2 linked regions of the Coturnix japonica genome follow. The protein of the gene in region 1 purifies or fractionates together with the protein of each later gene. This does not show direct contact. Links are inferred from orthologs where the notes say so. Each region holds a gene or a part of one and is shown on either strand. Other genes may lie near its edges.

Region 1 (4,098 bases):
TCAAAGCAGAACACACCACACCACACATACTTCGTACAGGTCACAAGTGATGCGAGCAAAAATACTGCGGTTATGGGACTGTTGGTTCAGAACATGACACTGCGTAAATACAAAACACTGCTGGATGGGGAAGTCAGCTGAGAAGACAAATTATCAAGAAAAGAAGGGGAGGGGGAAATGAAATGGGAATTAAAACCAATTTAAATACAAGTGAGGGGAGACAAACTGAGTAAAGCATTAGACACAAGGACAAAGGACACAGTTATGATGAACAGTAGGTTAATGAAAGAGGCAACACAGGCACATACGGTTTTGATGAGCGCCAGATGGGAAGGGAAAGTTGTGCTTTCACTGCAAAGATGTGACTTCAAGTCCAGCCAGCCAGTTCTTTGCAACCTGCAGCTGGCTGCAAGACAGGTCTCAGTTTTCATTCAGTTCAGCCAGCCTGAAAACCTGGGGGCTGGAGTTTTTACTTCAGCCTTGTAACCTGGACTTCATCTAGTGCTAATCAGGTGGAACATCCTCCCACCTCATAGAAGCAGGCAGAAAACAAATCCCCAAATGGCCTCAAGTTGCACCAGGGCAAGTTTAGGTTGGATGTTATGAAGCACTTCTTTACAGAGAGGGTAGTTAAGCACTGGAATAGGCTCCCCAGGGAGGTGGTTGAATCGCCATCCCTGGATGTGTTTAAGAGCCGTTTGGATGTGGTGCTCAGGGATATGATTTAGCAGAGGGTTGTTAGAGTTAGGGTACTGGTTAGGCTGCGGTTGGACTTGATGATCTTTAAGGTCTTTTCCAACCTGGGTAATTCTATGATTCTAAAGAGCTCCAATAGTGAGCACATTGAGGCTCAGAGCAGGACAGAGCAACGAAGGGCTCACTCAACCACGAATCCTAAGAGATTTATTTCCTACAAACACAAAAGTGCTGTCCCAGCTTTACTAATAAATACAGTTATACCGTATTTGGAAGAATGAAAAAAGCTGCACAGCATGTTTCCAGTCCCTGCTACCAACAAAACTAATGGAAGGGGCTCCTGCAGTCCAACTAACACTAGCAAGCGGACACAGCACCACACAACTCAAGAGCAGTATGTTGTTTTACATATAAAACAAATTTTCGTTAGAAATACAGCATTGCATAAAACACCTGTTACATAAATTACCATCAAATTGCCATCATTTTCCCCCTACAGCATTAGAGAATTGTAATCTTCACCCCTCCGCAGCCATGCTGAACTGTAAGTCCTCTCCTATTAATTCAAGCTGTCAGCTTCAAATCAGAAACCCTGAATAGAGGTTTCAAGAGGACTCATCACAATGGCATCAGAATTAGAGGTAGCAGCGCTGTAGGTGGTAACAATTGGCTTTTGTTCCTGCTCTGCAGAAGGAAATGGAAAGTGCAGAGGTGCCAATCTTTGCCAGTCCAACTTTCTATTTTAATGAAATACAGTTCAGCTGAGTAGGTTCTGAGACAACATGAAAGCCCCAGAACTCAGGCTTAGAAAAGAAGAAACAGAAATGTCTTGCAAAAATTAAAGCAAGTAAAAAATCTGTCTTCACTGAGGTTACAGCCACAAACTGCACCACTTCGAGGCCTGCCCCCTATACGAATTTACACAAGTACTACTGGATTCAAACTATCTTTTCTGAAGAACTTGGTTTGTTATCACTTTTTTACGTGGAACTGACTAACACAAAACCAAAGCTGCTACAGAAGCTGCTGAGATAGAATCAGAGAACAGCTTGGGCTGGCAGAGGCCTCAAAGATTATATTTTATGCTGAATGGTATTTGTGCTGTACATCACCCCCACGTAAATTCATCTAATGGGTCTTCAGCTGTCAGGGAGAAACCTGCACATGTCTCTGTCATCTGCTCACGAGGGATGGCGTAGCTATATGCTATACCTTCAGGAGATTATCGATCTAAATTAATTTACCGACAAATACTGAAAGAAATAAAGTTGCTGGTAACATGAGCTGCGTATCCCAACCCTGCCGCCTGCTCCCACTCCACACAGGCAGCACTATGGGACCTGTTTTAGGGCAGTGCAGCCAGAGAAGTGCGGCACCCGCACATGGAACAGATGTTCCACAAACCCGACGACAACATCGCCTTTCGGTGGGAAGGGAGGAAGGCGGCTTTGGGGAAAGGCGAGTGAAAAAGAAACCAGAGAAATCAGACGGCAGTGCAGGAAGTTGTGCGCGTTACACCGCCACTTCCTCACACAAATAAATCCCCTCGGCTCACCAAGAGCCCGAGCATTGCGGGCACAGCCGGCGGGCGGCATTGCTGCCAGCAGCACGAGGCTGCGCTCCCCCGCTCCTCCCGCGCTGCGAACAATGGCCGGGAAGGGGCCGCTGTCCCGGGCGGGACGGCTGTGGCGGCACAGAGAGCGGGAGGGAAGGCGCCCGCCCGCGGCCTGTCTGCCTCCCTGCCTCCTTCCCTCCTTCCCTCCCGCCCCCGAGCGCCGCCGCTCCCCGCCCGGCCCAGCCCCGATCCCCCGCGGGCCGGGCCTGAGGCGCGGCCTCGCTCCGTCCCGTTCCGTCCCGCCCTGCGGCGGGGCGCCCGAACAATGGCGGCGCGGCGCGGCCCGGCCCCGCGCACAGGGCCCTGCAGGCGGCGCGGCGGCGAAGGCGGGTGAAGAAGGAAAGGAAAGCGAGGGGAGGAGGAGCCGGGCCGCTCCGACCCGTACCTGGTTGAACTCCTCGCCCACATCGGCGTAGATATCGATGTGGTCCACGCCGTCCGCCATGATCCCGCCCGGCCGCGCCTCGGGCCGACCGCCAGCCGCGCCCGGCTCCGCCGCCGCTGCCGGGAGGGGGAAGGTGCACGCGGCGTCACTTCCGAGCCAGGAGGGGGAACTTCCGGCGGCTGCCGCTTCTTGGGGGGCCGCCCCGCCCTGCCCGCCCCTTCAGAGTGCAGGGAAAGCGGCCCGAGCCCGCCTCGGAACACGGCGAAGTACGGGGCCGCTCCTCAGAGCCCCGCCGTTCCCCCTCAGCGCCCCTGCCAGGTCGCGGCGCGAGGTGCGAGGATCGCCCTCGATCCCGGAACACAGTGTGTTCTCCATTGTGTGTGGTGTTTCTCATCCGAAAATAAAGTTGCCTTTTGACAACGAGAAGTTTGTGTTTCTCTAGACCGGGTTGAAAGAGTGTTAAAGACCACAGGTGGATTGAAAATGCTCTTTTCCGTGAGTGGGAGTGCTCCTGGATCAGCATCTGTGGCCCTGAGCATCCCTGCTTCGTGTTGTGCTTTGGTGCTCTTGCGTTATAGTTCTCTTTGAAAGGAAAGGTTGGTCTTTTCCTGACAGAAAAGAGGTGAAAAATCAGAGAGCCACAGCAATGGGTATGCTGTGGATCACGCAGGCTTAAAGTATGGGCTGCTGTCTTATGCATATCTCTGTCAGGGCCCCTTTTTCCTCCTGCTTTTGAAAGGAAGAAAGCTCCAGCTGTATTATCAGATGGAAGCTAGTGTGAAAGAAGAGCTGAGGGAACACACCTGCTCATCTGTGTGCTCTCTTGTTCAGAGATGGGTCTGGAAGGCTTGCAGTCATTTGGTCACTTGCTGTCCCCAACAAACTTCATTAGGACTCGTCTCCCAGACCAGGCTGTGCTACCAAGGTCTCTCTCATGACCACGTTTCTGCTTCAGCCCTCACACTGGCTCAGCCTGCTGAGTCCTGCTGTACTTTGGGCATGGAGATGCTCAGGTTGTCCCTGGAGTTCTCATCCAGTTTGTGGCACACACACACATTATACATACATACAACAGCCTCTTGTGCTGTTATATGTGTTAACAAACAAAAAAACCTACAGCTGGGATTGTTCTCAGCTGTGAGAGCTTTCCTAACCAACAAACCAAGCACTCCTTGGAAAGCCCCTTGGAGAGGTTCAGAATATCACCTGAAGAAACATTTACTAGAGTGTATCCAGGCACTGTGTGTGGAGATTTAAAAAGGACCACGTCTGGCTTGATGATGTTCTTGTTACTTGTAACAACACGGAGCACTTTGGCACAACACTTCAGTCCATCTGTCCACCTTCTTCCACACTACTGAGGAAAAAACAAACCTTTCCTATCCTGATAAGTATTCATTGG
Region 2 (4,323 bases), on another chromosome or scaffold:
CTTTTCAAGGATGTTAAATACACTTAAGGCAGCATCGGTCCCAAAGACAGATCTTGGACACACACACATTAGGTGCCACTAGGAGATAAAACAATATAAATTAAGTAAAGGAACTGTGAGGAAGCAAACAAAGAGACCTTTCCTTCTTAATTGCTGGATAAAATCATACCTTTCTTCATCATGTCTCGATCCAGAGCTACATTCCTTTGGGCAAGATTCACTTCAGCTCGAAAATGGAAGCGCTTTGCTCTTTGTTCCTTTTTCTCAATCGCTTCCTGCACAATGTGAAACGATCCAGTCAAAACAGGAACAGCACAGCCTTCCCAGCAACTGACATCATAAGACTGGATATTAAAATACAACTGACCAAGCAGCAACAAGCTATGTTAATATTTCTCTTATTTCTGAAGAGATCTGTATCTTTCAGAACACTAAAAGAACTCACTGACATGTTACTGTGCTATTTAGTACTTCTAATGCAAGTCTGGCAACGTAATGAGGATCAAAATGCGTAGAAAATAAAATATCCTGAACCCATGACCAGTTTCTATGATGGAACAGTAAGATTTATTTTTCCTTCCTAACAAATGTACAGACTTTGTACACATTTTCAGGTTTTGGACACAAATTTTGCTACTTAGAAATCACAAGAACCCACCCAGATGTTGTTTGCAACCAACATGAAGGAGAATTGTCTAGTTATTGTGTTTTCATAATAGGAAGCTTCTGTGACTCTTAGGAAAGAAATGAAGTGTTTCCTCTTTTCCTGCCGCAATAATTAAAACACTTCAAAGAACCACAGGACAGAAATTACCTTGGATGTTACATCTATTCCAGTAATGAAACTTCCAGCTTTGTTTTCGTATCTCCTACTAGTGTCCTGAAACAAAGCAAAACAGTGATGAAAACTCAATGAATGCTGACTGCAACGTAATCACTAGGCTAAAACAAATCTGGCCTATGAGAAATCCATCCTTACTTCAAGCTACACATCCATACAGAGTCAGGTATATGAGCACTTAACCTCACTGACATCAGTGAGAGTTAAAGCACATCAAATGAACCCAGATTCCTCTGCTATGAGAAACGTGTGCTTCTGCAATAACTGCTGTATTATTAATTGTTCAATTGCTCACATTTTTACTTTGTCTCAGCAACAGGGCAGAAGCAATACAAATTATCCCTGGTTTGATACATGACTACAGACCCAGAGGAAGATTGACAGCACTGACGAACAAACATAAAACTCATTTCCACCAATGGAGACCACTGAAACCTAAGCCTGTAGTGAACAACACGAACCCTGGAGTAGTGACCCAGCTGTGTCCTGTCTGCATGTTTCACAACTGCTTCATTCTGGAACCCTCAGAACCATCTCCTAGGGAAGGTTTGTGACATGAGCAACGTGCCTTGCTATGTCTAAGGATAAATATGCTGCTTACCCTTGTGCTCCAATAATTATTTTGGCTAAAGGCCTTTTTACTAAAAAGTAGGTCAGGCTCGGTTAGAAAACAGTCACACACCGAGCCCAACAGCTTTTCTTAGTAACAAACTTCCCTTAAAGTTACAAGATATTTAAAACAGGAATAGAATTAAACGGAGAACAGCAAAATAAACGTTTTTCAACTGGAAAAAAACAAAACAAAACAACAACCAAACCACTGCTGTCTGGAGGTGTCTGATGGAGCACAAGGAAGTCCATACGGTTGGGTGCTGTCTCTTAGGCCACATATTCACAGAATGACCCGGGTTGGAAGGGACCTCAAGGATCATGTAGTTCCAACCCCCTGCCTGGCAGGGCCACCAAACATACACCTTTACTAGATCAGGTTGCCCAGGGCCCCGTCCAACCTGGCCTTGAACACCTCCAAGGACGGGGCATCCACAACCTCCCTGGGCAGCCTGTTCCAGGGCCTCACCACTCTCCTAGTGAAGAACTTCCCCCTGACATCCAACCTAAATCTTCCCTCTTTTAACTTAAAACCATTTCCCCGTGTCCTGCTATTGTCAGCCCTTTCCAAGAGTTTACTCCCCTCCTGGTTATAGGTTCCCTTCAGGTATTGAAAGGCTGCAGTGAGGTCACCCCGCAACCTTCTCTTCTCCAGGCTGAACAAACCCAACTCCCTCAGCCTGTCCTCATAGGGGAGGTCGGTTGAAGCTGAAGCACGTTGGTCAAGCAGCTAATTAGAGATTAGTTCCTCAAGCATTTTCCACACGCATTTTCCAAACAAAAGCCTACTTAGGAGCGGAGATCAACTCTGACCCACTTTCATACATTCAACCTGACCATAGCTGAACTTATCTAAGAACAGTGAGTACAAAAAATGAGAGAACAAGAAAAAAACCCTCAGGGCCCGCACTGCCTGAGCATCCCATTCACACTCCAGCTCCTCAGCCCGTACCTCCCCCCACTGCCCACCCCCTCCCTCATCTCCCCTCCCCCTTCCCACCCCCATTTCCCTCCTCCCGACCCCTCCACCCCCCGTTCCCTCACATAAACCCCCCGGTGCCTTTAGGGCCGCCCCTACGTACCCTGCCCCCCCTCAGGTGCCGGTCCCTCCTTCGCTCCCCCTGCCCGTCCCTCACCGGGATGAGCTCACGGAGCGATCGCCTCACGGGGATGGTTTCCAGCTCGCCTTCTTCCACCTCCATAGGTTCAGGCTCAGTGCCGCGGGGTTCTGCCATTGTCGCCGTCGCTTCAGTCTTCACCGAAATCCGCAGGCCCCGCACGGCCGCCATGACTCCCCGAGCCCGCCCTCCGCCCGGCCAACGAGACGGCCCAGCCGCGGTGCAGAGCGTCACCTCCCAGAGACACCACAGAGACGGCAGCGCGGATAGAGCGCCGCCAGGAGCCGCTGCAGAAGCGGCGCCAACGCGCTCAGGGCGGCCATAGAGACGGGGAGACAGAGCGGCTCCCTCGGCCCTCCGCCGGCCGCCATTTTCCCGTCCTATAATGATGGTGGCAGAAGTGAACTGCCTTCCACAGACGTTTCATTCCATACTTGGAGATCTGAGGGGTCTTTTCCCATCTTAATGATTCTAAAATCCAATAGCAGGTTGTTAATGTCAGTTATTTTGCCATTGCTGACATCACCCAGCCAACACCTGACAGGAACCACCAAGTGATATATATCAGTGCAGGTGATATTTCCATGCCAGATGGGAATGGATTATGTGAACATATGAGAAGTAAACAGGGCAGAAACACCCTGAAATCATCAGTAGAGGGAAGATTTCTGTGACAGAAATGCTGTTATAAGGGAAATAAAGGATACAGAAAGGATACAAAGGATCTAGATCTGTATATGATGTAGGAACAGTCAAATCAGAGGAGGAAAACCAGGCCTGAATGCATGCAAGGCTTTGGCTGCTGAATAGGTGAGCAGAATCTCTTGATACTTCCCAGCTTTTCATTATGAACTGTGAATTCTTCACAATTAAAGCTGATCTAATTTCATTCTTCTAAGTCTCCATCTCTGTTCTTTTCCACTCAGCGCTCAGGACTGCATCCTCTGCCTATAAAATGTGAACGAAGGAATGCAGGTTGGAGCAGAAAAGCTCCACCTTTATTGCAGCTTTTGTGCTGAAAGGGTGAATCAGTGGTAGTAAACTAGTGAGGAGTGGAGTGTTAATGATGAAACAGGAATCTGGAGAAGGTTCTCAGTCATTATCTAGAGAACTAAAGAAAGGCTGTTAAAAATAATAGAGTGACTGAACAATAAATCTTTCCAGCATAAAAAAAAAGCTTCTTAGAGAGGAAGTATTATTCATTTCCCCATTAGTGACCACCAGAGGGAACTCTTGCAATAATATTCCCAACTGCCAGCAGTTGTGAAAGAAACCTGCTGAAACCATCCAGCTCCTGTTGATGTTCAGCTGGAAACAAGGGAAGATGGGTTACAAAAGGGAAGGAGAAAAAGAACAACAACTCTCAGTCAAAAGGCAGCTTCTCTTCTTTCTTTCTTGGCCTGGCAGGAGTCTAAAAATGATTATTTTTATCATTGCAAGAGACTTCTGGCTTGTTTATTTGAAGACTGTGAAGCACTACCCTGAATGTGGCTGTACTTTCCTGCTGCTGGGATTTAATTCTCAACAAGAATCTCCAGCTTTTTAAATCTATGAAAAACCCGAGCACAGAAGTGTGCTATTTCTGCAGCCATCCTGCAAACTCCATGCGTCACCAGGGAAACTGGCATTCTAGGTTCCAAATAGATCATGACTGGCTCCTACCTACAGTCCATCTGGAGAGAGAACAGGATCAGCGAAGGAAGGATGCTCATTTGTTAAACCATCTGATAAGTCAAACACCTGGTGTTTTCTTAT

The links.
Region 2: the proteins of CPSF6 (region 1) and NCBP3 purify together in Homo sapiens (co-immunoprecipitation; 3 studies listed by BioGRID and IntAct, with this or other methods). This does not show direct contact. The link is inferred for Coturnix japonica from reciprocal best matches to the Homo sapiens genes CPSF6 and NCBP3.

What each region holds. Positions count from the first base shown.
Region 1 is NC_029516.1:32,102,972-32,107,069, reverse strand, and holds the start of CPSF6 (cleavage and polyadenylation specificity factor subunit 6), read right to left. Parts: upstream 2,846-4,098; 5' UTR 2,757-2,845; coding exon 2,697-2,756; intron 1-2,696. UniProt on the Homo sapiens protein: Component of the cleavage factor Im (CFIm) complex that functions as an activator of the pre-mRNA 3'-end cleavage and polyadenylation processing required for the maturation of pre-mRNA into functional mRNAs.
Region 2 is NC_029534.1:3,968,937-3,973,259, forward strand, and holds the start of NCBP3 (nuclear cap-binding protein subunit 3), read right to left. Parts: upstream 2,833-4,323; 5' UTR 2,740-2,832; coding exon 2,533-2,739; intron 881-2,532; coding exon 815-880; intron 276-814; coding exon 170-275; intron 1-169. UniProt on the Homo sapiens protein: Associates with NCBP1/CBP80 to form an alternative cap-binding complex (CBC) which plays a key role in mRNA export. NCBP3 serves as adapter protein linking the capped RNAs (m7GpppG-capped RNA) to NCBP1/CBP80.